4 linked regions of the Lonchura striata genome follow. The protein of the gene in region 2 interacts with the protein of the main gene of each other region in a pairwise test. Links are inferred from orthologs where the notes say so. Each region holds a gene or a part of one and is shown on either strand. Other genes may lie near its edges.

Region 1 (8,058 bases), on a different chromosome or scaffold from region 2:
CTCCAACTCAGCAGTTGCTTTATTCTTAAACCATTATCCCAGTGGGATTAGACTCAGCTTTTTCCCCCTCTCTCTCCAGAATATAAGCCGATCAAGAGTCCATCTCACTGCTCATTGTGAATCCAGTCTGGTTGGTGACCCTTTGCAAGAAGACAATTAAAGTCTGCCCTCGGCTGCATAAGAAGGGTCTGAAGAGTGACAGTACAGAGGTTACAGTGAATACAGGGGAGCAGTCTGCCATCCCCAAATATGACCCACTCTGTCTAAAAACTGGGAGTGAATTCAACTCTCCAATAAAGGATCCGCCTTTGTTGTTTACTGGGCTGTGTGCAAGCAGAATTTTTTTCTCAGGGACAAGAACCACATGAACTGAGAGTGTGCTCACAAAGAGTGGTTACCTGCCTCGAGAGGAAAACAAATTACTCTCTAAGAGGAGAGGTGGTGGGGAATGGAGCCCAGAGAAGGAACAAACCCAACGGCATTTCAGCTGCAGCAAGCAGCAGCTCACCAAACCCAGCCCGTTTGCATTAGTGCCTCCTTGCACCCCAAGGCTGCAGCCACCAGAGGTCAATGTGACCACATGAACCTCACCCAGCTGCTGGGTGCTGCACCCCTTTGAAACTGGGATGTCCAACTCAAGGATGAAGTAGTGTTTTCCACCTCTTAGGATGTAACTTTGGGACAGACTTGCATGTAAACCAACATTCAAAGCATTAAATCACAATAGGGCCTCAGCATTATCCTGGGAAAAAATAGCTTGGGAATGACAATGTCTCTAGTTAGCATCCTGCAAGCCCACTGAATTAAAACTCTTACTTGGCTGTGGGCCCCACGAGTGCTCCTGAGACCCTGGGCATGTCTCAGTCCTGCTGGTTTCAGTGTCACTCAGGTATTCTCACCAATCCCAGCCTTGGTAGCAGTAAAGGAGTAGAAATGGGCAGTGTGTACTTCCCTGAGTCCCACTTCTGCTTTCTGGGATATAGGTCTGTCATAGTGAATGAAGTCTGCCCCAGATCCAGGCTGGATGGATAAAACAAGTAGCTGACCTGCAGCCAGAGAAAGGCAAATGGGTTAAATGAGGCAGGGTCATCAGTCTGGGTTAGAAGTCAGAGAGGGAAGATGAGACTGCACAATAGAAATCAGTGTCTAGACAGCTTTGTAACAGCCAGCCATTCCTCTCCACTCCCACGTGTACCAGTTCTCCTCTCTATCTCCCCTATGTCCTCCTCTAGACCTCCCCAAACAGTCACTGAGAAGCCTTTTCCATCCTGGCCTCCCATCCCCTCCATCACCTTTGTGGACACCCACCTAGCAAACAAAACACTCCTACTCCACCCCCAGCAGAGCTCCAGCCTTGTGGGATGGACAGGTTTCCCCAGACAGTGCACATCATCCTCTCCAAGAACACTCCACTGCACTGCAGGATCATCACTGGTGCCCTCCACAAGGCCAGCTGCCCAGACCAAGGGTGTTTCCACCATCTCCCAGGAGCATTAGCTTAGGATGGGAGCAAAAAAGGACCAAGAGGCAAACTCTGGCTTGTCTTCACAGGGCAGATGAAGGCAAAGACACTGAGACAGTGAGAAGAACCAGCTCAGATGTCATCACAGAGACAAGCAAACTGTCTGTAAGAAGTTTGAATTCAGAAGAACAAATTGTCACCAAGACATCAACTGCTTAGCTGGGAACTCTGTTCACCCCATTCAGAAATACTCAGAGTGCTTCAACAGGACTAAATGAGGAGGCATAGATAGAAAACACTACTTCCATCTTCCCTTCCTCTTCTCTGAGATGATCCAAGTCCTGTATGGCTCCTCTCCTGAGCTGGTGCATAGACATGCCCCAGGATGTTCAGCTGCCAGAGCCCCTGAGTCACTGTCAGGCTGAGACTGGCCAGATGCTGATGGAGGAGAGGCAGGAGGGGTGATAGCACCCCACAACACTCATACTAAATATGTGCCATATCAGGGAAAGGGACAGGTCAGAACTACATCAGGACCTTTTCCTTTTGGCTGGGGAGCAAACCTGTCCAGGACATGATGAGAGAAAAGAGCTGAGTACATGGTAAGAGGGCAGAGTCTCCGTAGAGAGGGCAGAGAACAGCCAAGTGCTACCATCACTTGTAACACTGCTCCACAGCCATAGGGTGTCACCACCCTACCAGCCAACCTCTTGGGGAAGGAGGTGGCTGGGCAAAGCCAAAATGCTTTGGGTTGGCCTGGACTTAAACTGGAGCCCTTGCAAAGGGAAGGATATGGAGAGTCAAGGGCTGTGCCTGTTCCTGCCCCACAGACCTGCCAGGGCTCCTTTCTTCTGACTGTGTGACCTTCCCAAGACCTTTCATGGAATGGCTTTAAAATGACAGAGAGCAAGTATAGATTAGGTACAGAAAGAAATTCGCAACTGTGAGGGTGGGGAGGCACCAGAACAGGCTGGCCAGAGAAAGAGTGGATGCTTCATCCTTGGAAGTGTGCAAGGCCAGGTTGGATGGGGCTCTGGGCGACCTGGTCTAGTGGGAGTTATTCCTGCCCTTGGCAAGGGGGTTGGAACTGGATGAACTTTAAGGTCTTTTCCAACCCAAACACTTTTATTATTCAGTGATTCTGTGACCTACACTGCATTCAGCTATTTGTATCCTACAGTTGCTGCACTGAGCCAGGCCTCGGCTTACTTGAGGGGCTGTAACTCCCATCTGCTCCTGTTAATGCTGCTTAATGGTGTGTCCTCCAGGGCATCCACCAGAGGTGGCACAAAGCACCCCTCCACCCACGCTCAGCATGACCTGAGGACTACAAACCAAAGCTGAGATATGACAAATTCAGTGCAGATGTTACCTAAGCCAGAGCAGTATGGTGCCAGAGGCTAAGAAAAAAGCATCTTGGACCTTGTTTCCTCCTCCACATACCACCACAGCCACACCAGATGCCCTGCAGGATGTGACCCTAGATAACAAGGGAGGTCTCCAGCCCTTCTGGTGGCCGTATGGGATCTGTTCTGGAGCCATCATGGCTGAACAGGCACCCTCCCCTAAACCCTCCTCCATGCCTGGTGTTCCCAGTGCTCTCCATTCCTCTGTCCCAAAGCCAAAATACCCAGCTACCTCCTCGTTGTGGCCTGAGTGGGTCTTTGCCCTTTAGAGCATCCCACGGAGTTCAGCATCAGTCAGAGACAGCCATGGGAGGAATCAAAGCCTGGCATGTAGCAAGAGCTGTCTCTCACTTCCCAGGAAGCTAACGACAGACTCTCCCTTAGAACAGAGCTTCACAAGGCCCCAGAATGCAATCCTAGCCCTCTCTGGAGCTGGATGCCCATTTCCCCTGCAAAGAAGTCACGCCCTGCCACACAAATGCAATCCCTGGGCTAAGAGTCACAGACAGTCGCTTGCTGGAGCCCGCCCAAGAGCAATGAGCTTTCCAAGTCCTTTCCCTTTCTTGGGGGTCTGGTACTCACATAAACAGGAAGAGCCTGGCCCTCTCCCTCCCCCTTGCAGGGCTTGCCTCCCTCCCCTGCTCTGCGGCGGGCGCCGGCATGATGCAAGCCCAGCGCTGCGCTGCTTGCCCCCCTCGGGAGGAGCTGCCGGCTGGCCCCTGACCTCCAGGCTCCGCATTTCCTGCGGCAGCCCAGGAGGGAGACGAGGCCCCTTCTTCCAGACGCTGGGGCTGGGCGTAAAGGGGCCTCTATGGGCCAGCCTGCGGGGAAAAGGAAAGGTCACGGCGGTCCTTTGCCTGCAGCAGCCTGAGGTCGGAGGAGGCAAAGATGCCAGCAGCCCCGGTGGAGGTGGGAGCATCGCTGGGACACAGGCGTCCAGCCTAAATGACAGGGCAAGAGCCATGCTCCCGCCCCCGCCCTGCAGCCAGCTCTCCAAACCCTTCTTTATCTCCTGGCGTTTATTTTTAAAAGCTTTGTGTCCTTCTGTCCCAAAACCAAAGGCAGCCACATCAGGTCTGGGCTGCTGCCCAGGAGGGAGCAGAGCCTGTGCCTGCAGAAGGGTGCAGCTGCAAAGCCCAGTGCTGTTAACCCTCAGCAAACTAAGCCCAGCTGCAGGAATAGGTGCCTGTCCTAAAATTAAGAAGCTGGACTGTTGCCTAGGAGAGTATTACCCCTTTCCCCCAGCTTCCTCTAGGGAGGACTAAGCTGAGACAGGCATCCCTGACTCCTCCACACATCTCCCGTGGGTCATGACAGGGAACAGGACTGAGATCTGCAGAGGGAACCAGGAAGAAGGACAGAGCCCTGCTGAAGGCATTCAGTTTAAGAGGCATATCCCAATCTTCTGGGGTCCCAATCCACACTTGGGCTCTGTGCAAGCCCTGGCTTCTAAAGGCCCAGGATGCTGAGCACATGTGATGCCTGCTCTTCAGGACCTGGCAAGAGGTGCCGGATGCCTGGGGAGAGCAGGGAGGAGGGATGGCATCCCGGATGGAAACCTCTGGTATGCCTCTGCACTGATCTCCACTCTGCCCTGGAATGTGCCGGCCAGCAGCATGTGGGAAAGTGGAGGCAGCAGAGACCTTGGATGTGTCAGCTCCCCGGCTGAGTAAACAAGAGGAGCCCTGGCAAGCATTCAGCCCCAGCTATCCAAGACCTTGAAAAAAAAGGGGCTGGAAACAGGGAGGTTCTTCTGTCCTCTTCTTGCTCAATCTTTGCAATATGTGTCCTAACCTCTCCCCTACCTCAGGTGCTAACATCACCTCCTCATATCCCTAGCAAGTCTGGAGAAGAAGTGTGGGGAGAGACTCTCCCTGCAGAGTTTCCAGCACCATGCTGTTAGATCTAACATCCGGGAGAGACACTGCCTCAAAAGGAGGGTCTGGAGAAGAAAGAGGTAGGATAAAAGGATTTATCACCCCCCACCATGCACACATATCCATGCCCCTTGGCAGTCTCCCAGACAGCAGGGAGCACAGAGCATGAAGGGATCTTCCACCAATACTGGCAGTGCCTCAGGGAGCACAGTGATGGCTGGGACAGAGGCACAGTACAGCTCCCAGATAAATACCTTCCCAGCCTCACCTGGGGACATTCCCACTTGGGGGTGCAAGCTCCAGCCACACTCCAGGTTTCAGAGGCTCAAGAGAGGCTGACAGTGCATTCCCCAGTGCTGGTTGGAAACATGTTCCCACCGCTCTTCAGGTTGGCAGCATTGCCACCCTGGTCTCCTCTATAATGTGCACTCGCTGTGAGTCATCCCCTCATCCCCTCTGCACCCGGGTACAGGAACGTGGGCAAGAGGGGTGGGCTGGGGAAGGTCCCCCTGCATCCCACCAGTGGAACCCATCATCTCCTGGGGGCTGAACTCCTGCAGCAGTGGCACTAGGAGGTTGTGCCTTCTGGCCACCATCCCGTGTCCCCTATCGCTCCTCCACAGGCACAGACTCCCGGAGAATGAGCCATTGTTCCCCAGCCCTGCAGCCTCTTCCTGTCCCTGTAGGGCTGTGAGACAAACAAAAGCAGAGCCAGACGCCATGGGGAGGAGGCTGGATCTGCTCCCCTCCTCCAGATCCTGCAGCAGCCCCACAGGCAGGCAGACGGATGCCCGCCTTGGGGGAATGGGCAGGGACAACCCCTATTTTTAGCTGCTCCTGCATCCCCACCCCCTTCCTTCCGTGGGCCAAAAATACATGGGCTGGATGGACAGGCAAAATCATTAGGATTAAAGAGTTGTCCAGGCCTTCTGTCCAACCACTCCCCTGGTTTCACCTCTTCCCTTTGACCAGAACAGGTTCTCCAAGCACAGTCTCCCACTCCCAACATGGACGACTTATCTCTTAATCCCCATTCCCTATATCCCATATCCTCTCTCTGTACACTCTACCATTCCTCACCCCTGCATGCCACTCCCCCTCTGCTCTATGGATGCATCTCCCATTCCTTGATGGTCCCCTCTTCCATGCCACACCAGCCCTGAGGACATTCTCCCTTCCCCAGCTCCTCCTTTCCCCAAAACACCTTTCTGCACCTCCTCATGCAATTCATCTCCAAAAGGCTCTTTCCTCCCAAAGGCCCAGAGTTTCCCACTCACCCCATCCCCTCCTTCCCCTCTGCATCCCTTCTACCCTCACCATTTCCTCTTTCTCTCCCCACCCCAGGAACCTCCATCCCAGCTCCCTCCAGCCTGCATGGGCTTTAAACTTCTGTAGATATGCTCCCTTTCCTTGTCCTGCCAAGTGAACATATTTGAGGAAGGGCAAAGAGACTCACAGATCCCTCTGTACACAGAGAGCTGCTTCTCCAAGCACCAAATTTATATCTAAGCCCTCCCCCCAGTCCCTCCTGCACTGACTTTTACAAGGTCTATGAAAAAGAACTGGAGAATCAAGGGTGGGGTTGTTCTGGGGAGATGTAGTCTACATACATAAATATATATCTTTATATTTACATCTCCTTTCCTAGTACGTGGAATCACAGAAGTATTTCCAGGCCACAGGCAGCTGTTCCTGGATTACTTCTGGTTTATGCAACATCCTCACTCCCCCTCCCAGCTACGTCCCGAACCCCCCTTCCCTCTCCTCTGTGCCCATGTGAAACTCAGAGGGAAAGTATAAATCAGGGGCCATCCTGGGGTCTGTCCCTCCATCCTCACACCCAACAAGACCCCACAACATCCACAGCAGCCCTACAGCACCCCACATCCCTGGCCAACAGACAGGAATAGCAGGAGGAAGCTGGGGAGTGTGGGGGGAGGAGGAAAGATGAAAATATTTGGGATAGGAGGAGATGGGCAGAGGGAGGGAGGCAGCCCGCCAACAAGCCTGGGAACTCATCCGTACCTCCTCCTGGGCTTTGGCAAACCCCGAGGCTTTGAGTTCCCAGCCCTGCTCCCAGGGGAAAAGCACACACTCCCCCCTTTGCAAATCCCACAAGCAAGACGTGGTCAGTCCCATTCCTTCGTCCTCCCACTGCTCCAGGGGAGGGGAGGAGTTGGTGGGGAAAGTTAGAAGTGGGTGTTTACAGGGTTATCCACCCCACTTCTAGCATGAGTGCATCTAATCCAATGCTTCTGCCTGCCTGATGGTGCTCACCACAATCTCCCCACTTTCCTTCCCCAGTGCAACACAAAGATTCTGGGAACCAGACCACTCTGGTCCCTTTCCCTGCTTATCTCAAAGGCAACAGGCATGGTGTGGGGGACTTGCACCAAAAATGGGTTGAGCCTGGCCAAGCATATCTGGGGGTTCAGCCAGAGGAGAAATCACCCCAGTGGAGAAATTATAGGGCATGAGGGGATCCAGTGCCTACAAAGCCAGAGCTGGCATCAGGCCAGGGATGCTCTTGGCAAGACGCTGGGTGCTTGCACCTATCCCTTGCCCCAGGGTGTCCCCTCCTGCCACCACTCTGGCTTGGTCACCCTAAAACCGGCTTTGCCTTCAGCTCATCCCCAGGGCAGCGAGACATGGACTGGAGGCAGCACCGAGGGCCATGGGATGGGAGCAGTGAGAAGGGACCTGACAGAACCAGGGTGAGAGGGAGCTGGATGAGGCCATGCCTGGTGGGGCAAGGGAGCTCTCTGCACCCCCATCCCCATTGTGGCAGGGTTCTGTCCCCCATCCCACTGCTTGCAGTAATCCCCATACCCATGTGGTATGTGCCCTCATGGCCCCAAGAGAAGAATGGGAACATCTGGAAGTCACCTGCAAACGAGCAGCACTTTCAGTTAATGAGGAAATATGAGCCAGAGACTCTGGGCAGCAACAGGATATCTGCTTCTTGTGCACTGAGCAAGGCACCCCCTTCCCACAGAGCCCCCTGCCTGCCCTCCCTCCAGAAAGTTTCCAGCACTGCTGTGCTCCTGGAAGTCCATCCCTGGAAATTTCCCAGGGAAGGAGGGCAGGTGGAAAGGCAGCAAACTGAAATAGCAGGGAATATAAACCCATGGGTGTTTATGTGGAGTGGATCCTATCACAAGTTGGGATGCCTTCATCACCTTCGTTTGGCTTCTCCCAGGCACTGGGGAAACGGAGTAAAGGGATTTTTCTTTACTGGAGGGGAGTCCTGTATCAGCCTCCTTCAGGCATTGAGTTTGCAAGTGGAAGTGAGATAGGATGAAGGACTGAGCAC
Region 2 (7,208 bases):
AGGGTCTCTTCAGGTACTTCAGCCCAGGCAGCTGAAGAGATGATCTTGGAAATCTCCTCCTTCCAGACTACCTGTTTTCTTACATGCAAGGTGGAAGTTTCAGGGCAGGTCAGGGAGATCTTGTGTCCACATGCCTTCCTCTGTCAGCAGTGCTAGAGCTCGACCTGATCTTGGACTTGGGTATCTGACCCTGTATTTAGGTTAGGAAATGGTATGGTCATGTAGCTGGGACTGCTTTGAAGGTAGTAGGGCTGAGAGACAGCACAGCCAAGCTCCAAGGAAACCTGAACACTGATGGAATCTCTCTTTTCTCCACCAGGAATGGGGTACTACTCCCCATGAATTTCTTGGTGCCTATAAGCTCCAGCATGACATGTCCTGGACTCCGTTTGAGAACATAGAGAGACGAGATGCTGAAATAACTGTCCTGGAGAAGCTGCTGAGCCAGCCGGCAGCATTGCCCCTGTGCATGGAGCTCAACTTCCAGGGTGTGACCAAGTGACCACACAGGACCCCCTGAGCAGAGTCCCTGAGTGAGGGGACAGAGTACCTGTACGCTGCCAAAGGCAGGGTGGAAATAGACCAAGAAACAAAAATGCTGATTGCTTTTGTGCTTTAAGAAGTTTAATTCTGCATTCAGTCATACTGGACTTTCTAGTAATTGAATAATTTACTTCATTGACCTATGGCAAGCTGTAGTAAGAGGCAGATGATACCAGGAGGTGTGACTTCCAAGAGTGCTTGGAGCAAAAAGCAGAAATGCTTGGGGCAGATGTGCTAATGTTGTAAAATAATATCTCCTGTCTGCCTGGCTCTGGTGTACCTCGCTGTGAATGTATCAGGTAATGATCTCAGGGCTGGATTTTCCCCCTTATTAAAATGTACATGTTTAGAGAGCTCTGTGGTCTGGAAAGAGTGGTCAAAAGCTTATGCAAAGGGTCTGCTGTGATGAGTCTTCTGGTCTCTGTCCTAGCTGGTCTGAATCCCTGAGCTGGGAACATGAAGCTTTTCTCTGGAAAGAGCATCCCCAAAAGTGCCATGCAGGCTTCAGGTGTTCTTCAGATGATGTGTTTCACATCCTCATGCATTCCCCCTTGGATTTGAGTGCATGAGCTGCTAGGTAGAGGCAGGATACTGGATGACTTTATGCCAGAGCAGTGGGGAGAGTAAAATAAACCATGATCTCACAGGTACCACCAAGACAGGCCCTGTGTTCTTCCTGCGTGGCAAAAATACCTTTAGCTTTGCCAGGAAGACTTAGTGGCATGTGGAGCTAGTAGGATACCCCCAGCGTAATTTTTCCATCTAGAAAAACTAGGGAGAAGTAAAGATCAGAGCTGCTGAGGAGATATCCTCCCTCTGCCAAGCCACACAGGGCTTCTTCAGGAACTTGCCTGCTTTTCTGTGAGGAGCCAAAGTTGGAATTTATTGACAGAGAGGATGTCCAGGTTGGATCCTGGTATGTAACATTAGATCTGGTTGGATTCTCCCATGACTTGCTCACTTTTCTAACATGACAAGATGATCTTGTATGCTACTCCAGGCATTGCATGTACACAATCACCTTGCCACCTCCATGGGCAACATGGGAGAGTTGGGGACCACTTGTAGGAGCTGAATTCTGACCTTGGGATCTGGGCCAGCTATGGATGGATTTCATGCTTCTTGGTGGAGCCTGATTGTGAGCGCATCTACAAAAACAAGATCCTTGGGGACCAGCACTGTCACTGTGTTTTGCCATTGCTGGAATTTATTCCCCTTTTGCAGGACACAGCCTTACCTCAAGTCTCTAGCATTCCTCTGTCCTCATCCCCATGCACTGGGAGTTTGCCTTGGGAGATGCTCAAGGCTGCTGGCGGTGACAGTTCCTCATGGGAAGAGCTGTTTCCTACTGGTGTTACAGAGGATTGGAAGGTTTGGAGCAGCTCCCTAGCCCAGGATTTTTTGTCCCAGATTTTCTTCTCCTAGCTCTGTCCGGTGCAGTAGCTCACCTACATCCCCGCATGGCTGAGCCTCTGTTTGGCAGAAACCTGTTCCTTGGATTCAATATGAGGCTTTTTTTTCCATATCTTTCCTCACTTGGAGCACAAGGACATATTAACAGGAATTTGTTATTAGTAGTAGTAGTATTAGACCAGGCTATAATTAATTCCGTAACAAGTTACAGGTGCTGAATTTGACAGGGTTTTTCTCTGCTTGTTTCACTGCCTTGAGTCTGATTTTACTGCATGGTATTATATCTTAACTTGGAAGGGATAAAGTTAATTACTGCATGGACTTTGTGTGGTTCACGTGTGTTGATTTATGCTCCTCTGGGAAGTGAGGATTCTTGCCCTGGTTTTATCTGTTTCCATCATTAATATCTGTACCATGGCATGCACAAGAGGCTTGAGGAGTGGTGGTTGTGGACCTCTGTAGCTTATGGTGGGATGTCATGTGTGTCTAGCAGACACCCCTGGCCCTCCATAGCCCACAAGTCACTAGTATTCTGCAGTTCTTCTAGGCACTGTCAAGTCTTTCTCTTGTGAAAAGACAAAGGAGGCCTCAAGAGACGGGACATGGAGGTAATGAGCTCATAGTCATCCTCATCCTTGGCATCCTCATTCCTTTGCACTGTGGGAAGTGGGGAATGAGGCTGGTGCAGGGAGCAGTTGATGGAAAGGGGGAACCATTCCCTCAATATTGCTTATGCACTGTTGAAGTGTAATTAAAGTCAAAGAACTGTGAGGCATCATCAGAAATACTGGAAGGTGCTCTAGAGCCAAAGCAAAACATAATCTGGAACACAGACAAGGATGAAGCTGGTTGAGGTGGAGCCTCATGTGATGCTTGCATCAAGAATGAGTTTCTGGAGGAATGATGAGATGGTGCCTTGTGGGAGACTCCAGGGTCTCTCCAGGTTCTTGTTCTCATCCACTCGGCTCAGCCTCTACCCAGCTGGAACATTTGTGCTTGACAGGGCAGGGATTTCATCGAAAATCATCTGGAAGAGACAGTGAGACACTGATATCCACTCATGATTTCATCTTGAAAATTCTTTTGAAAATGTTCCTCTTCCTTTGCTCTTTTGTGAGTGCTCCGGGCAGCAGTGAGCATATTTGGAAGGCAGTGGCTCTTTCCAGAATCCCCAGGGATGTGGAATATTTGCAGAAGGCACAGATATGCTTCTGACACCATTACATTGGGCAGAGTGGATTGTGTCCTGTCTTTGGCCATGCAGATGGACCAGGGCTCATTTAAGAAGTCCAATGCAAAGATGGTTTGAGGGTTTGACCTATTCCATGTGCTCTCCAGAGACAGTGTTTGGTGACTTGAAGCTGCTGGCATAGGTACTTGCAGCTTTTTCCAACTTTTAATATTTGAATTGCTCTGTAGTTTACTGTTTCAGGCCAGATTTTTGCTTTGCTTCTCAAAGTAGTTGTGCCTGGAGATTTTCTTTCCGGCCTCTTGTTCCTGAATGATGGGGGTGGTTAGGGGGATTTAACTTGCCATAAGTACCCTCTGCTCTGGGGTGTCATCTCCCAGCCATGAGGAGTGCCCCAACAGGATGAACTGTGGATCTTTGGCCCTTCTTATGTCGGCTTCAGGTCCAGGGAGAAAAGACAAAAAACCAAAAAAAACCACGAAAAAAACAAGAAAACAAAAAAAAACAAAAAGCAAACCACACCAAACCAAACCTAGAGGGAGCCTGGGCGCTGTGCCGGCGAACCTCACATCCGGCAGGCCGTGCCCGCGCGCGCCCCCTGACGCTGCGCGCAGCGCGCTGCGAGCCGCGGCGCATGGCCGGCAGGGGGCGTCCTAGCTGGCACGCCCCTCACCAGCGCGCTGCGCGGTGACGTCAATCGACTGCCCCTGTGCCTGCGCCGAGGAGACCCCGCACTGAGCTGCCAACGCCCGGCGGAGCGTCCGAGGTGAGAGTGGGGGGGCGGGGGAGGGGGGCGGAGACGGGACTGGGACCCCCGGCCGAGCTCCGGGACCTCCGGCCGAGCTCCGGGACCTCCGGCCGGTTCTGCTCTCCGCGCGCACCCACCAATAGAGCCCTGGCCTTCACCTCGGCCGGGGCGCCCGCTGTGCGTGCGGGGCCTCCCCGGCAGCCGCCTGCCGGGGGGAAGGGCGGCCTCCTCCCGGCGGGTCCCGGTGGCTGCTGGCGGACGCTTGCCTTTGTGGGCCTGGTCTGTTGAGGTGGTCGGCATGGCCGCCGCTTCTCCTGCCCACCCTTCCCCCGCTTCCGGGCGGCCGTCGGACTGGACCCTCGGAACGGCGCAGGAAGCGTTCTCGCAGCCATGGCGGGGCCCGCCCGCACTCCCTTGCCCCTGCCCGTCCCAGCCCCGCCCTGCCCGTCCCGGCCTCAGCCGCGGCCCTCCGCACTCGGTGCAGTCCGGCTGCGCTCGGGGCTGTGGGAGAAGCCTCGAGGGGCTGCGGGCACAGCAGCCCTGAACCGCAGCGGGGTGTGGGCATGGCGAGGAGTTGAGCTCTAGCTATGTGCCCTGCACAGACAGCGCTCAGTCGAGAAGTCGCAGACTCTTCTGGGTATCTGCCTCACGAGCTGCAGTGCTGTGGGTTATCCAAAGCTGTCCCACAGCTTTCGTTACATCGTGATGCCTCTGGCTGTAGCTGGGCCAGGAGCTAGCACTGCTTCAAAGGTTGGTGTTGACATATGTTTTTCATTCTCCTTGGAAATCTCATAAAAATGTACATACTGCAGAATCATAACTCCTGTCTCTGTTTTAAAGGTCTGGTTTAGTGATCTAGATTTCAGTTCCGTATCTGTAAGTAGATAGAACTTGCAGCTGGTGACAGCAGTAGGAGACAGTTGCAGAGCCAGGTAGCTGTGAAGACCTAGCATTGGAAACCTATGCTTAACAAAGAATGGTCGGGATTCCTGTTGTCCTTTCTGTGTGGATGCTGTGGCCAGGGCAGCCAGAGATCCTGTCTTGACAGCAGCATGAGGAAGACAAGCCCTGGCAAAGAGGCCGTGTTAGATGGCAACTGAGTGATCAGACATGGTAACTGGATGATCAGAACTGGCTGCTTGGTCTGGCCATCTATGATTGTCTTTGTGCTTCTCTCCCAGGAAAGGAGGTGTGGGCTGTTCAAAATATTGAGTTGCAGCGCCCAAAAGCTTTATTTTTTTTTCCGGAAGGGGCATTTAAAAACTGCATCAAGCTCATTGTATTGCTGATTGGGATAACTCAGTAAAGCATTACAGCTTCTGTTTTTCTGTAAGCAAATTATATTCAGCTGGCTGAATGTGAGGAAGTTGTATGTGAAGAAGCTGTTCTAAATTTCCCTTCTGTTGTAAACTTCTGCTTTGTACTCTTGTTAGTGTAAGGTTCTGAGGAAGATAATATAGGCAACTATATTTGAGTCAGGTCTTAGGCATGTATGGTTTGAATAAGTATATTGCCGACTGTAAAAATGGTTTGGTGTTTAAACTGTTCTCATTTATGCTTCAGTAACAACAACAACAAAAAAACTAAGTCTTGGCAAGGAATAAAAAATTACTGTGGTGCAAGATAAAACATGTTTTCACTTTGGTAACATATCCGAGGCAGAAATTTTAATCACTAAATTTGCATACTTTGAACTTGGTTATTCATGACCTGCAACTGATGTTCTGAATCATTAAGTGCTCTGCTTTAGGGTTGTTTGCCTAAAACTGATGACTGGGAAGTTCATGATGTTTTTACTGTTTAAATAGAAAAGCTCTGGAAGCTCTAGAGTGTGAAGTACCTAAAACTGAAACTGTCATTCTGCTAAAAGGCAACGGTAAACATAAATGGAGCCCCTGTGAAGCTCCCAGGGATTTCTCTTATAAGTGTTCTGTGGGCTTTCCTTGCTGTAAACCCTGTGTGAGGCTGATGGAAAGTGCAGCATGAAGCTAGCCACTAATCTTGATGTAAAGCTTCTTTTTCATTAAAATGTAGATGTAGTACTAAAGTAATTTTCCAAGTTTTATGAGCATAGATAGCTGGACCTTACAATTAAAACCTTTTCAGCAGCTCTCTTGTTACCATGGGGGTTGGTTGGTGTACCTGGGTTCCAGCTCTGCTGTTAGCTCCGGAAGACTCGGACAATAAATGAACATGCTGCACTACAGCTGAGGTTTGTGTAAGATGTTGCAGGTGAGATGTGTATAATCTGCTTGATGCCCATGTGAGTGCTCACAGCTTTTAAAAGTTGTCTGTGGGCTTGTGTTTTTGATCCTGCTCATTCCTCTGCCTGCCCTTTGTGGTCAGGAGAGCTGAGCTCTCCTGCTGTCATTTGGCTCCATCATGAATTTATGATACGAGTTTCTGGAGCAAGAGACAGTTAGGAGGAATTGTAGAGGGTTTAGTTATCATTGCTCTTTAGGAAAAGATTCTTTGCTGAGGAAAGAATGACATATTTCTCATTTTAGAAGATGAAAGTTCTGTCAAATCAAATGGAAGTGGAATTGGTTTCTGGTGCTTCAGGTAGCAAGAAGCTCTCTAACCACTTAGTCTTCTTCCTTGGTTCCTTTCACTCCCTTACATTAAATGTAGGTGAAAGCACCCTATATTCAATAGTTAATATATGACAAATAAAACAATTTATTGACCAGATAAGCTTTTATGCAAAGTTTTAAGAGAAATTTAAAGTACCTTTACATTTCTGCAGCCTGTCACCATTTAATTATCTGGCTTCTCCCAGACCCTACACTTTATTACGGTTTGACACGATACAAGCTAAGTGTATATCCCTCAGGAAGGACTGCCATTAGGAGTGGTAGGTAAAAAAAATCCCTTTCCCCAGAGTTTTTGCAAGGGCTGAAGCTTGGCACAAAAGTTCTCCCTCTCTGAGGTTGTTTGGCCACCCCAACATAGTGGTCAGCTGCCCCTTGCAGCCCATGGTGTGTATGTTAATACCTGAGGTGAGTGACAGGAATGGCATTAAGGCAGGTAATTCCCAGCTTCTGGTGGGGGATCCTTTAGGTTGCTTTTGAGTGGATGAACTGAATTTGATTACCTGGCCCTGGGTGTGCAGAAAACTGCAAACAGAGCAAGAAGCAGAGTTTGTGGAATTAATCTTTGTAATCTCCCCTTGGAGTTCCAAAGAATGACTCTGACCTAAAGAGTTGTAAACCTTCATAATACTAATTGGCCTGTTTTCAGTAGAGTGATGTTGAGAGTGTTGATTTTTCTTCTAAACAAGTGATATTTTATAAAGAGAACACAAAAAATTTGTTT
Region 3 (7,360 bases), on a different chromosome or scaffold from region 2:
CCTGCACAGAAAACAGCTGGCATCCTCCAACATCCTCACACTGAACGATGTGGAAATTTGTCTTCAAAAGGGCATTTAGTCTCACGTCACAGATGAACCACTGCTGAGATTTCATGCCAGTGTCTCTGTATCAAACCTAGTCCCTTGCTTCTCCCAGACAGCTGCCAGGCTTGAGGACTACCAGAAGTACTGAGCAAACGCTCACTTACACACCTTACACTGTTCCCTCTCCTCCCTGTATCCTGCCCGGTCCCCTCCTCCTGTCCTTTGGCTCACCTCTGGGCTAGATGGTACCACCCATGGCCCGCAATTTGTTCTAACTCTCACATCTTGCTCTGAGAATATCTGCAGCTTTCAGGAATGAAAGTTGCAGAATTTCAGCTTTACAGAATCTAAGTCCCAAACTTGTGGTGACTCCCAAATTCTGTGACTGAGCCTTCTGTGAGAGCACACTAACCACACACATGGCAGAGGATCCAGTAGCATCCACACACCTATCTGCAACAGTGGTAGGTACATTTCTGTGCATGAGTATCCACGGGCACCCTCCACATTCCAATGTTCAGACCAAGCAGAGACAAAATCTCTCACAGCCAGATCAGTGACATCAGGAGCCATGGGGGCAGCCTCTGCTCCAGCACCTGAAGCTGTTTGAGCCAGTGCTCTGTGAACAACAGCACCAGTCCCAGTACAGCTCCCATGGCTGGGAGACAGCTGCGCTGACTGGGAGCAGCCTTGGCATTCACAGCCCTGACTGCCAGCAGCTGGTCACCTCCAAGATCTAGAATCCTCTCCTGGGCAGTTTGGAAATGAACTATTTTGGTGTCAGCATAGAGCTGCCACTCCTGAACAGCTGACCCCCTGGTGTAACACAATGGTGACAGTTTTGTCCCATGCACCACTAGCCCCATCTCCACCAGACCCACGAGGAGCCCCTCCCACAAACTGGTATTTAGCAACAATCATGACACAGAGGGCACAGAAGAAAGCCCAAACCAACCAAAAACCCAAATCCCCAGCTCTTTGGTCACATTCCTGTGTTCCAGCCTTACTTCTGTGATCCAGAGCTAAAGAATCACGCATACCCATCACATAGATTAATCATGACCCACCCCAACCTTCTTAGGATTTCTGAGGAGCCCACCAGGACCGAAAACACTGCTGGGGACCAGAACCAGCATGATTCCAGTCATCACTGCAGGCCAGGCTGGGCTTGGCTCTGGGGGAACAGCCCTCACCTTTCCTATCAGCTTACCCACAGGTCCTGGGGATCCCACTGCTCTGTGAAACAGCACAGCCCCCAGGAACTGCCATGGCTGCAGGAGGGGACCCCAGCCTGTGCTGGAAGCAGGGTACAGAAGGGCTCCTGGATTTTCAGACACATACCCTAGCTCCAAGCAGGGATTCAGGATCACAGAAGCCTGTAGAAGGCAGCAGGAGGCTGAATCCCTACCTGGGAATTTGCACGCTACCTTCACTGCTCCCTCAACCCAGCAAATTCTTCCGGATTTTCAGCATGTTTTGTGCAGGGCAGAGCAGCTGCAGTAGCTAACGCTGGAGCCCCACCTCCTGCCAGGAAGAAACACTAGCGGGATATCCCTGCTGTGTCCAAGCAGACAGTGGGAATCACTGACTCCGTACCCTGGAATCCCGATCCCAGGGCAGCAGCGAGGCCAGCATTAGTCAGAGTATCATCAGATGAGCTAATCAGCTCCGTCAGGCGCAGCTGTGGAGGCAGCAGGGCCGGTTCCAGCAGTCCCCACCCTTCCTTCTTCCCGCGCAGGGAAAGCCTGCGCAGCCACCCGGAGAACGCAGCTGGAATGTGACCCAGCAGTAAGTGTTTCTACAGGGCCCTGTCCCAAGCTGCTCTGCCAGGATGGGAAGCCAGAACAGCCCAAACAGCCTGGCTGCTCCACACAGAGAGCTCAGATGGTCCCAGGGCAGCACAGGGGAGTGGGGGACACCAGTACCACAGGAAGGACAGGAGCCTAGCTGGCACTTCCTGAGGCCAGGCGCTATCAGGGCATATCAGGTAACACTGCTGCACCAATTGCTTTGTAAGAGCATCCGAGGGAATTCTCATCCCGCTTGATCCCCTCGGCTGTCTCACAGACCCAGGCAAGAAGGACTTGGGGAACAGGAGGACACGCTGCTGCCCAGAGAGGACTCAGCAGTCTGAGGATGGAGAATTTTTTTTTCTTTTTTTTTCTGACATATCCCTGACCTGTTGTTTACCTACATGGCTGAACTGTGCAGAGCCAGGCTGAGGGCTCACAAACAACTCCAGAAGGATAAAGGCTGCTGGCAGTACTGCACCAGGGCTGCAAACCAGATCTGTGGGTACCTGGAGCCAGGACTGTGACCTATCCATGTGTGTCAGCAGCCGAACCCACAGCAGTTAAACTGTCCCCACTCTGCAGTCATGGAACAAGATCCTCTACACTGGAAAAATGCTTGGACAAGCGGAGCAACAGAGCAGACCGGAAACCGTCAAGTGATCAAGTGTGGTTGGGAGCTTTTGTCACCACAAACAAACGACGGACGACGGTCAGGGCCCTCAGACCAGCTCTCGGGAAAACGCCGCTGCTCCCGGTGGAGTGATGCTGGCGGGGGAGCCGCGGCTCCGGTGCCAACCCCCGCGCCGGGGCTCGAAGCGCACCCTGCCCGCGGCGGTCGGGATGGAAGGGCCCTGACTTGACACGGAGCAGTCCGACTCTTGTACAGTGTCTCACAGTTCCTCATTCCGTGCCCGGCGGCCATTTATGAACAGCCCGTACGCGCCAGAGGCACAGCCGACCTGGGCACGTGTGGGGCCGGGCGATCCCCGCACCGCACCTCGGACCGAGCACCGGGCACGGCCCGCCGGGAGCCGCCCCAGCCCCTCGGGGGAACACGGGCCGCCCGCGCCCCGCGCTCCGCCCTCGCCCCACGCGCTCCGCTCCGGGACGGCCCCGCCGGGGGCGGTGGCTCCCCCGGCCTTCGGAAGGTCGCGCAAGGGCACCCGGGGCCCCGCGCCCGCCCCTCGGCCGCGCCCGGCCCTTCCCGCAGCCCGCGGCCCGCAGCCAGCGCGGCGCGGCCGGCCCGGCCCTTCCCGCCCAACCGTACCCCCACCCACCCGCTCCCGCCGCTCCCGCCGTACCGGGCTCGCTCGCTCCCCGCTGCGCTGCCAACGCCGCGGATCCGCCCAGGCCCCGCGCGCCCCCGCACTTCCGGGACACGCCCGGCACTTCCCGTTACTCGCCGCCGCGCCGCCGCCGCGCTTCCGGCCGCGGACCGCGCGCTGATTGGCCCGGAAGGGCGCGCGCGGGCGGGGCGGGACGGACCGGATGGGCGGGACCGAGGAGGAGCGGGGCAGGACCGGCGGGGCGGGGCAGAGCGGGATCGGAAGCAGGAACGAGACCAGCGGGGCAGGACGGGACCGGGACCGGGACCAGTACACGGCAGAGTGGCGCGGAGCATCACGGTACGTGCGGGAGGGCGATGGGGCGCGGGGCCCAGCGCGGCAAGGCACCAGCCACAGCTCTAGACATGGTTCTATTTTATTACGGCAAAGGTGAAAAAGCCACCTTGGCCCAACAGGCAACCAGAAAAATTTATCCCAAAAATAACTCGGTACAAAACAGGTCTGCTGAGAATTAAAAAAAACCTTTACAGGAGTTAAAACCTATCCCAGAACGTAAAAGTAAAACAAATCCCATCCTTGGTAGTAGTAGCCACAGCCGCAGCCCCTGCCAGGAGTGTGGAGCACGATTGGAGTCCTTCCCTGCGCCCACCGCTGCTGCTTTAGCTGGTGTCCATCTGCAAGAGAGGGGAGGAATGTCACCGCAGCCCTGGTACCTCGTAGCACCCCCCTGCACCCAAGCCCACTCACTTCTTTGCAGGCAGCCTGGCTCTGGTGAACCCACAAGCTCTGGGGGACAGGGACAGGTGGGTCCAAGCCACAGCACACCATGAGCACAACAGCAAATTGCACCCCAACACTGCTCCAAAGCTTTTTCTAGAATCCTGCTCATCCCACTTCTTCCACACTCTTGCCCTGACATATCCTGAGTCTTGAACCACCAGCTCTGCTGCCACAGTGTCCATGTGGCCTCAGCTTTGTTGGGATCCTGGCCCAGCTACAGCATATGCTGAGCAAGTTCCAGGTACAGCTGCAACCTGCCCATGGCTCCCCAGGCTGGGGCTCATTTCTGCCACAAACATTACACCCTTTCCCCAGCAGCACACCACACAGTTCTTTCACATGAGATTTTCCTTCGTCTTCCCATTCCTGCAACCTATCAGCTGTGCGAGTTTTGTTCTGCAGCTGCTGCTCATAGTGGCTGTTCCAGCTATGGAGCCTGGCAAGAACAGAGCCTGTTTCTCAGCCATCAGGAACAGGTGACAAAGTGCTCTGGAAAGGGAAGCTCAGACCCAAGCCAAGGCACAGTTCAGCTTTAGAGAGAGACTGCTTCAGTCCAAGGACCTGGAAAATGCTTTCCCTTTTCTGCCAGCTCCAGACTGCCAGTGCTTCCCAGGATGAGATGCTGTAGGGAGCCCATTACCATGCCCAAGCAGCACTTACCCTGGCATTGTAAGCATCCAGCTGTGCATCTAGTTCTTCTGCAGAGAGCTGCTGTTTGGAAGTTCTTCCAGCTCCTCTGCCTCTCCCTCTGTTCCCGCCACGAGTCCCTCGCCTGTTGCCTCCACCTCCAAATCCCCCCGAGACCCCACGGTTTCTGGTCATGCCACCTCTGTTTACACTGTAAGTTTTAAAACAACTGTTTTAGTGCCTTCAGCGAAGCCAAACAGGACCCACGTTCCCCAGCAGGGAGGGTTCCTGCACATTCCCCTGCACTGCTTGGGCAGGGGCTCCCCCACCTCTGTGCTGGTCTCCGCTGCGTGTCGATCTGTGACGTCACCAGCTGGATGTTCATGGGGCGCCCTGGAGGAGGGAGAGCGTCCGTGAGCCCACGGGGCACGCGCGGGGCAGGAGCCGCACGGACGGGCGGGAGGGACGAGGGCGTGGGAGAAACGGGCACGAGGGGAGGGACACGGATGTGCTCTGCTCCAGCCACAGAAAAAGTCGTGGGGCTGGGCCACGCAGCCTCACCGTCCAAGGGGACCCCATTGTACTGCTTCATGGCCTTCAGCGCATCAGCCTTCCTCTCAAAATGCACATCTGCCGTTCCTAGGCTGCGGCCAGATCTGTCATAGTGCACAGCTGCCTTCTTCAAGGTCCCAAACTCCGCAAAGAGCTCCTGAGAATGACAGGGAAAGGAGCAGCCCATCCATCAATGCTGCAAGCACTGCAGCGCCCCACACAGACACGCTCAGCACCAGAGCTTGTCCCACCACCTCAGACAGCCTGGAAAAACACCCAGTGGCACAGGGGAGCACAGCCCATCAGCAAGATTTCAGGGAGCTGTCACAAGTGGCAAAACCAGGCAGGACTCCACGCTCACGTCCTGTAGGAGGCACATTACAGCCAGTGAAGCAGATTCAAGGGATGCTGACCTGTTTTTTTTTCCCAGGGGAACTGGGGGTCCTTGTTGAAGGTGAGTCAAAGTGGCAACAACTGAAAATACCGCAGACCCCAGACACCTTTCTCACAGAGGAGAATGACCATGTGATTGCAGGGATCCACGAGACTATGACACTTTTACTGTGCTAGACTTATGCCCATTAGAAACATATCCTAAAAATGGAGACCAACAAAGTCCTCTGCTGAGGTGTGTCCTTTGCTGCCACAAAAGTTGGAAATAAAGAGGCAGCAACAGAGCCACCAATTTTGTTTCTCAGGCACTATATCTGGGAAGCCAACAAGGTTACTGCACTGCCTGTGTCAACCTGCTCCCAAGTCACAACAGGGCTCTCAGCAGGGCTGCTGGAGAACTACAAAGGACACCTGGCAGATGCTTTCTGGACAGAATGTGGCAGGCAAGGCTGTCTCAGCTCTGCCCAGAGCCCAGGATCTGCTGCTTCTGCCTCAGAGGACACAAAGAGCAATGCTGCACAGCTCATTTGTGATCAGAGTACCTTCGGCCTCTCTTGGCACATAAAGAGGCATCAGCACAGGAACAAAACCAATCCCACATCTGAGGCAATGCTAAATTATGGGACATGGGGCCAAAGCCGTTGATTCAGCCCCCAGTGGGGGCTTGTGCAGCAGCAGGAAGGTGAGTCCTGGCTGCACACAAGGCACAGGGGCTGAGTTTTACACACTGCCACCTCACTGCAACAAACAAAAACTTATTTAAACTCAGTCTGAACTTATACGAGGAAAAGAGGTGGAGTGCAGCACACTACCCAGTGAGCAGGTGACTTGACAGAGCTGCTTTCCAGTTCTCCACACGCAGCCAGATGGGTGTGTGGAGAGGCTGAATGAATGAACTGATGAGGAAAGTCTAACACCACTGTTTTGGTTTTCCCTGGTGAGGGCACAAGAGCCAGAGGCCAGGGTGATGGCAACACTCTGTGGTGCAGGAGCCTCCACCAGGGATACATGGCCCTCAATTCCTGCACAGCTCACAGCCCACTCATGACCCTGTGACACCCCTCAGCCTCCAGCCCTGAGGCAGATGCCCCAAGCACCCGATTGCAGGCACTGTGGGCTCTGACCAGCCCAAACGGGGCATGGACACGACAGGTGGGGGACAGGACACCAAAGCACCAGCACAGGAGAGCTGTTCCTATGACAAATAACTACCTGGTTACACTGATAGGTGCATCCTTGGGAACCCCTGACACCCACCAGAGTGTGGTCTGACAAAGCAGCAGGCCCCACAGCACCATTACAGACAGCTACAGCTGTGCAGAGCAGGAGCTCAGAGTTCACAGTGCATCCTCCAACCACAGCGTGATCCAGCACAGTCACAGCATCGCTCCCTGTACACCGGGAAGTCACTTACAAAACACCTATAAACCGAATTTTCCAGCCCCCTGGAGACCACCACGATCGCCGCAAAGTAGGCATACCTAGTACCAACCCCATCAGCAGGGATTCACCCGGGAATCCTCGGCCCCGAGCACAAGCCGGAGCAGGGCCGGCGGGGTTCCCGCGGGTACCCGACCTGGGCCAGCGAATGAGGCCCCGCTCGCCGCGGCGCCTCCCCGAGCCGCACCTGGATGTCCGCATCCGAAACGCCGAAGTCCAGGTTGGAGACGAGCAGTTTTCCGCCGGTCTCCACGCCGGCCCCCGCCCCGAAGCCGCTGTCGAACAGGTCGTGCTGCCACTTCTCGGGGAGCTGCTTCGGCTGCAATGAGACCGGGACCTCGCTGACCGGCGCCAAGGCGCCGCAGCCGCGCCGGGAGTGGACAAAGGGCCGCCCGCGTCCGCGCCCCCGCCCCGCGCGGACCCTCCACCCCAGCCCGCCGCACC
Region 4 (7,311 bases), on a different chromosome or scaffold from region 2:
TGCTGGTCAGCTGCTAAATTTAAGGTTCTGGATGTCACTCAGGGGCTGTGAAAGGCTCCTGTGTCACCCCCGCCGGGTAAACTGAGCCACAGGACTTTAAAATAATCTCTTCCCGGGGAATTTATCCCTGGGAGGTCCATCTCTAGGGGTCTGTCTGTGAGTTTTTGCAGCACGACAGCAGAGATTTATTAATGGTGATGGGTGTTGCGGACATGGATTTTTAAGCTCCAAATGGTGAAAAATTGGAGTTTAGTGACAAGAGGGGAAAAGAGAGTTTAGTGACAAGTGAAATAATAAAATATCTAGTAAAAGGGAATGAATGTCGGGGGGAAACCCCTCTTGTTACGCGTGACACCCCTAAAAAAGAGCATTTCCCACGGTCTCAATGTGCTCTGCTCATCCCATGGAAGCAAAACCACCTTTCTCCACTTAAATCCCCGCTGGCTGTGGCTCATTTCCCCCCATCAAAAAGAAATTCCAGGAGTTCCCCTCCACCCAAATCCCTCCCGGAACAAAAAGCATCCTGCGGCCGAGCATCCCGGCCGGCTCGCATCCCTTACCTGCGCAGGGCGCGGTGCTGCAGCGGCGAGCTCGGCGCCGGCCGGGCTCTTTGTGCCGGGGAGCCGCGGGCGGAGCAGCGTCGCTTTTGTCTGCCGGCTCGGCTGGGTCTGCAATGCAGCCCCTCCGAGTGCCCTTCCTCGTGGGGGGAGGATGATGATGATGGCAGATGAGTCAGCGGCTCCCACCCGCGCCAGGGAGGGGGAGGACGGCAGGGGCGGGGAGTGGGGGGGGATCCTGCGCGCTGGACCCCCAAGCCGAGGATGTATTGAACTGCTGAAGCCTTCAGCTCCGTGTTGGGGGGAATAATTTTCGGTCTGCAAAGAGCTGGGAAAGATTTATTTTACCTGCATGGGAAGATATGGGGTGCTGTGGTATCCCCAAACCTTGGGAGGGCACTGTGCGGGTCAAACACAGGGAAATTTGGCTCAAAGAAACCCCCCAAAACTATACACATATATATTTTTTTAAAATTTTTTTTTTTTTTTTTAATCTGAGACTGAGACTATTTGGTCCTAAGGTCACACGGCAAAAATATCCCAGCCAGACATGGAACTGGAAATAGAGGGAGACAACCCAAACTGGCATCAATCACTGCCAGGGCTGAGGGGGGGGCTTCACCCAGGGCGGGTGGGGGCACCTCACACCCACTTTCCCCCACAGCTGACCCCGGGTGTTGGAGGTGCAGCAAAGAAAACCCCGATGCAACCCCTCAGACCAGGGAATCTCCCTGCCCCAGCACCACCGAGACCCCAAACACCCTTTTTGGGGGGCACAGGCCACATCCATCCACCTGAGATGCTGAGGGCAACCCTTGCCCTCCTCTCCCTGGGTTTTGCCTGAGATCAACATTCTTTTGGTGCTTTAGGGGTTTTTTTTCTTTATTTTCCTCCCTGTTCCCTGCGCACAGCTCATTTCTGATGGTGCCAAGCTGTTCTGCCAGTGCTCGGCTTTCAGCCAGACTATTTCTGCCTCCTCTTCCTCCTCCTCCTCCTCCTCCTCTACCTCCCAGCACGGTAATGGGCAAAGAGGATCCCATGTTCCTGCTCCAAAATAGACCCTTGGTCTCAGCTGGGCCCCTGCAGCACTTGGCACAGGGAAAATTCCACCTGGGAGCCCTTTGAAGGATGCTGATCCCTCCAAGGGGTTGAGCAGCTCTTTTTGGGGGTACCCCAGGCCATGGGGTGAAGTTTGGCTGAGCAACCTCATAAGAAGCTGGATGTCACCCATCTCCTTGCTCTTCGAGGTCTTGTCACCTGCTCACATGTGACAGCCCAAAGACTGTGATGTCCCTCTCTGGGAAAGGACCTGGGGCTGAACCCCCCAAGGGGACGTAGCAGTGAGGGCACTGCTCTGAGCCCCGCGGTTTTGGGAGGGCTGCAAGGGGGACACTGTCCTCTGGCAGCACAAACACCAAAAAAAAAAAAAAAAAAAAGGCTCTTCAGCTGAAACGAGGTCCCAAACACTTGGGGTATTATCAGCCAGGGCCACCCGATGGCTGGGGACAGGCGTGGGACAGAAACCCGACTGAGTGGGGACAGTGCTGCCTTGTTCAGGATTTCTGGAGTGGGAGCAGTGGGGATGGTTGGGATTTGGGGGCTGACACAGGAAGGGGCACTCTGAGGCTCACAGTGTGGTGGCAGTGGCAGGACTGTGGTGGTGGCACTGGGAAGACTATGCTGGTGGCACTGGGAGGACTGTGCTGGTGGCAGTGGCAGGACTGTGGCGGTGGCAGTGGCAGGACTGTGGTGGTGGCACTGGGAGGACTGTACTGGTGGCACTGGGAGGACTGTACTGGTGGCAGTGGCAGGATTGTGGCGGTGGCAGTGGCAGGACTGTGGTGGTGGCAGTGGCACTGGGAGGACTGTGCTGGTGACAGTGGCAGGATTGTGGCGGTGGCAGTGGCAGGATTGTGGCGGTGGCAGTGGCAGGATTGTGGTGGTGGCAGTGGCAGGACTATGCTGGTGGCAGTGGCAGGACTGTGGCGGTGGCAGTGGCAGGACTGTGGTGGTGGCAGTGGCAGGACTGTGGCGGTGGCGGTGGCACTGGGAGGACTGTGCTGGTGACAGTGGCAGGATTGTGGCAGTGGCACTGGGAGGACTGTGCTGGTGACAGTGGCAGGATTGTGGCGGTGGCAGTGGCAGGACTGTGCTGGTGGCAGTGGCAGGCTGTGGTGGTGGCAGTGGCAGGACTGTGGCGGTGGCAGTGGCACTGGGAGGACTGTGCTGGTGACAGTGGCAGGACTGTGCTGGTGGCACTGGGAGGACTATGCTGGTGACAGTGGCAGGACTGTGGCGGTGGCAGTGGCAGGACTGTGCTGGTGGCAGTGGCAGGACTGTGGTGGTGGCACTGGGAAGACTGTGCTGGTGGCACTGGGAGGACTGTGGTGGTGGCAGTGACAGGCTGTAGTGGTGGCACTGGGAGGACTGTGCTGGTGGCAGTGGCAGGACTGTGCTGGTGACAGTGGCAGGATTGTGGCAGTGGCAGTGGCAGGACTGTGGTGGTGGCAGTGACAGGCTGTGGTGGTGGCACTGGGAGGACTGTGCTGGTGGCAGTGGCAGGACTGTGGCGGTGGCAGTGGCAGGACTGTGGCGGTGGTGGTGGCAGGACTGTGGTGGTGGCAGTGACAGGCTGTGGTGGTGGCACTGGGAAGACTGTGCTGGTGGCACTGGGAGGACTGTGGTGGTGGCAGTGACAGGCTGTGGTGTGGCACTGGGAGGACTGTGCTGGTGACAGTGGCAGGATTGTGGCAGTGGCAGTGGCAGGACTGTGGTGGTGGCAGTGACAGGCTGTGGTGTGGCACTGGGAGGACTGTGCTGGTGGCAGTGGCAGGACTGTGCTGGTGACAGTGGCAGGATTGTGGCGGTGGCACTGGGAGGACTGTGCTGGTGGCAGTGGCAGGATTGTGGCGGTGGCAGCAGCCCACCAGATGTTGTGCAAGCGGAAGGGCACCGGGCTGGAAATGGTGAAACCACTCAACACCAGCTGCAGGGTGGCGCTGGGGGGTCCCACGGCCCCCATTCCCACCGGGACCCCCACTCCTACCGGGACCCCCATTCCTACCAAGACCCCCATTCCTACCGGGACTCCCATTCCTACCAAGACCCCCATTCCCACCGGGACCCGCACTCCTACCGGGAGCCCCATTCCTACCGGGACCCCCTCTCATACCGGGACCCCCATTCCTACCGGGATCCCCATTCCTACCAAGACCCCCATTCCCACCGGGACCCCCTCTCATACCGGGACCCCCACTCCTACCGGGACCCCCATTCCTACCAAGACCCCCATTCTCACCGGGACCCCCACTCCTACCGGGAGCCCCATTCCTACCGGGACCCCCACTCCTACCGGGATCCCCACTGCTACCGGGACCCCCATTCCTACCGGAACTCCCACTCCCACCGGGACCCCCGCTCCCACCGGGATCCCATTCCCGCAGCCCCGCAGTGCTGGCGGTGCCCGGGGAGGGCGCTGTACCGGGGCCGGGCCGGGCCGAGCCGCGCCGGGCGGCGGGAGCAGCGCCGCGTCCGCACCGGGCCACGCCTGGGGCTGCGAGCGGCCACCGGCACCGGCACCTCCCGGCCACGCCTCGGGCTGCGAGCGGGGCACCGGCACCGGAACCCGCACCGGGACCAGGACCCCCGAGCCACGCCTGGGCTGCGAGCGGGGCTCCGGCACCGGCACCGGGAGCGGGGCTCGCACGGGGATCGGGACCTGCACGCCCGGGCCACGCTTGGGGCCGCTGCGAGCAGGACACCGGCAGCGGGACCGGGACTTCCGAGCCACGCGTGGGGCTGCGAGCCGGACACCGGCACCGGGACCCGCTCCCGCGCCGGGACAGGTAATGGGGCCGCCGCCGGGACGGGAACCGGCGGGTGCGACCCCGCGGAAGGGCCCCCGGAACCGCCGCAGGAAGGCGGAGAGGGCACCGGGATCGGCACCGGCACGGGAGCGGGGCGGCGGGACCACCCCCCCGGCAGCTCGCTGGTGCAACCGGGGAGTCCTGCCGGGATCCGCAGCCCCACCGGGACCACCGGGGTCCCAAGGCCTGCCGGGTCCCACCAACCCGGGCAGGACCCGCGGGGTCCCGAACGCTGCTGGGACCCCCGGAGTGCGCGGAGCCCCGCGGAGCAGCCGCTGCCCCGGGGGTCGCAGCCGGCACCGAAGCTCGCAAGCAAGCCCCACTTTGCCGCCCCATCCCGGGGTCCCGGGCCCGCAGCCGGGGCACCCCAGGACTCTCACCCCGTCCAGCCCCGTCCCCGCACGGGGGCTTTCCCTCCGAGCTGCGGAGACCCCAGCGGGTACCCCGCAGTGGGTGACCCCAGTGCGGGGGGCTCGGGGCGGACCCCGCTGCCGGAGCCCGGCGGTGACGCAGAGCCGAGCGGTGCTTTCCCAACCGGGAAGTCATTTTGCCTGTGCCGGCAGGGCCGGGCCCGAAGCCGCCCTGCCCGGGCCCCGGTGGGCTGAGCCCGGGCACGGCTCCTCGCCGGGGCTGCGGGGGGCGTGCGACCCTCGGAGCGGGGATCGGGCCGAGAGCCGCCGGGGCCCTTTCGAGGACGCCAGGCCCCGGCGGGTGCCGGGGGGCGCGGGCAGGGGTCGTGGCCGTGCGAGCCGCGGAGCTTTCACCGGCGGCTCCCCACGGAGCCCCGGCGAGGCCCTGCCGGATCCCGGCGCCCTCCGGGGCCGCGGTTCCTAAGGAAATTCAGGAAGTCGGGCTGGGAAGGAAACGCAGCCCCCTCCTCATCTGCCCCGCAGCCGGGGAGGGGGGAGAGCTGCGTTCGGCAGGGGGCACGGAGCCGGTGTGCACCGACCGGGACGTGTGGCAGCCTGCCCGGCCCCGGTGCTGCGCTGGCGGAGGGGCTCGCTGGGGACACGGACACGGACACGGACACGGACACGGGCACGGGGACACGGACACGGACACGGACACGGACATGGGCACGGGGACACGGACACGGGCACAGACACGGGGACACGGACACGGGGACACGGACACGGACACGGACACAGGGACACAGACACGGACATGGACACGGGGACACGGACAGGGGGACACGGACACGGACACGGACACAGACACGGACACGGACACGGACACGGGCACAGACACGGGGACACGGACACGGACACGGACACGGACATGGGCACGGGGACACGGACACGGGCACAGACACGGGGACACAGACACGGGGACACGGACACGGACACGAACACAGGGACACAGACACGGACACGGGGACACGGACACGGACACGAACACGGGGACACGGACAGGGGGACACGGACACGGACACGAACACAGGGACACAGACACGGACACGGGGACACAGACACGGACACGGACACGGGGACACGGACAGGGGGACACGGACACGGACACGGACACGGGCACGGACACGGACACGGGGACACAGACACGGACACGGGGACATGGACACGGGGACACGGACACGGACACGGGGACACGGACACGGGGACACAGACACGGACATGGGGACACGGACACAGGGGTGCTCTTCTTGTGCCAAGCTGGTGGTGATGGGAGCAGCACAGGGAGCACCCACCCCATGGGTGCACGGGAATGCCCGGTTACCGGGGGGATTCCATGCGGTCCACGGGGCCAGATCGTGGATGGGGCCGTGCCCAGGCTGGGCTCGGAGCAGTTTTGGGGAGCTGCCCCGTGGCCCCGCTCCTCCCTGGCAGCAGCAGGAAGTGCGGCCGGACTTTGGTCCGTCCGGCGGCACCGGCGCCGGGGCAGAGGAAGGAGCTCGTCCCGTTTGCCGCGGCTCCGGCACCCACCGGCCGTGCCTGGGGGCTCTCCCGTGGCTGATACCGGGCTGAGCTCCGGCCACGGCCCCCCGTGGGCGGGTGAGTTCCCTGAGTGCCACCGGGGGCTTTTGCATCAAGGGAGTCATCTCTCCTTGGCATGAGTTAACCCCCATTTTGGGGGTGAACCCCCCTTTTCCACATCTCCTCGCCCATCCAGGCAGTACCGTGGGAGTTTGGGCTAAAATCCCACCAGTCCCTGTTTATTTCTCGCCCGGCTGCGCTTCAAAAGCTGGAGCGGAAGAGCTCAGGCTCCGGCCCCTTTTCGGAAAGGATATTTATAGCTGCCTGGCTCAGGGAGTTGGGATTTGCCATGGCTGCCTCCATCCCCCCCATCCTGCCGCAGCATCCTTCAGCTGTGTCCTGCCCTGGAGCGGGGGACAAGGCCTGGCCCCGATCCAGCCCTGGCCATGGGGACAGCTCTGGGGGTGTCTGTGCGATGCCCAGGGGTCCCTGGTACGTCTCCGACCTCTGGGACTCCCTGGGGACCTCCTTGCAATGACAGGTGTCCCCTTGGATGGTCCGTGTGTGACCCCAGGGGTCTGCTGGGGGCTCTCTGCTTTTTGTTGGTTGATGGGAAGTCGCTTGAGGATTCATTCGGGGAGGTCAGGCCTGGAAACATCGCTCTCCCTTCCCACTCACAGCCAGCTGCTCCTCTCCACGCTGTGTCCCCATGGAGTGACCCTGCGCAGGGGTCCCGGCAGCTCGGGGGGACGCTGGCTGCCAGCACCGCGAGCATGAGCGACTTCTGGCACAAGCTGGGCTGCTGCGTGGTGGAGAAGCCCCAGCCCGTGAGTACCTCCCGTGCTGCCATTTCGGGCAGGGCCCTGGGGGCAGCGGGGGGCTGATGGCCTCTTCTTCCCCTCGCAGAAGAAAAGGAGGAGGCGGATCGACCGCTCCATGATCGGGGAGCCCATGAACTTC

The links.
Region 1: the proteins of CDC42 (region 2) and CDC42EP1 interact in binary tests that used the Homo sapiens proteins (3 or more experiments, as listed by UniProt). The link is inferred for Lonchura striata from reciprocal best matches to the Homo sapiens genes CDC42 and CDC42EP1.
Region 3: the proteins of CDC42 (region 2) and ARHGDIA interact in binary tests that used the Homo sapiens proteins (3 or more experiments, as listed by UniProt). The link is inferred for Lonchura striata from reciprocal best matches to the Homo sapiens genes CDC42 and ARHGDIA.
Region 4: the proteins of CDC42 (region 2) and CDC42SE1 interact in binary tests that used the Homo sapiens proteins (3 or more experiments, as listed by UniProt). The link is inferred for Lonchura striata from reciprocal best matches to the Homo sapiens genes CDC42 and CDC42SE1.

The regions. Positions count from the first base shown.
Region 1 is NC_134607.1:23,378,334-23,386,391, forward strand, and holds the start of CDC42EP1 (cdc42 effector protein 1), read left to right. Parts: upstream 1-4,705; 5' UTR 4,706-4,825; intron 4,826-8,058. UniProt on the Homo sapiens protein: Probably involved in the organization of the actin cytoskeleton. Induced membrane extensions in fibroblasts.
Region 2 is NC_134626.1:8,463,324-8,470,531, reverse strand, and holds the start of CDC42 (cell division control protein 42 homolog), read left to right. Parts: upstream 1-3,818; 5' UTR 3,819-3,911; intron 3,912-7,208. Other genes in the region: C24H1orf50 (uncharacterized protein C1orf50 homolog), read left to right, coding at 320-502. UniProt on the Homo sapiens protein: Plasma membrane-associated small GTPase which cycles between an active GTP-bound and an inactive GDP-bound state. In active state binds to a variety of effector proteins to regulate cellular responses. Involved in epithelial cell polarization processes.
Region 3 is NC_134621.1:11,932,021-11,939,380, forward strand, and holds the start of ARHGDIA (rho GDP-dissociation inhibitor 1), read right to left. Parts: upstream 3,244-7,360; 5' UTR 3,140-3,243; intron 1-3,139. Other genes in the region: ALYREF (THO complex subunit 4), read right to left, coding at 3,784-3,798, 4,565-4,742, 4,861-4,924, 5,093-5,240, 7,104-7,235. UniProt on the Homo sapiens protein: Controls Rho proteins homeostasis. Regulates the GDP/GTP exchange reaction of the Rho proteins by inhibiting the dissociation of GDP from them, and the subsequent binding of GTP to them.
Region 4 is NC_134635.1:2,917,324-2,924,634, reverse strand, and holds the start of CDC42SE1 (CDC42 small effector protein 1), read left to right. Parts: upstream 1-4,097; 5' UTR 4,098-4,402; intron 4,403-7,031; 5' UTR 7,032-7,124; coding exon 7,125-7,178; intron 7,179-7,257; coding exon 7,258-7,311. UniProt on the Homo sapiens protein: Probably involved in the organization of the actin cytoskeleton by acting downstream of CDC42, inducing actin filament assembly. Alters CDC42-induced cell shape changes.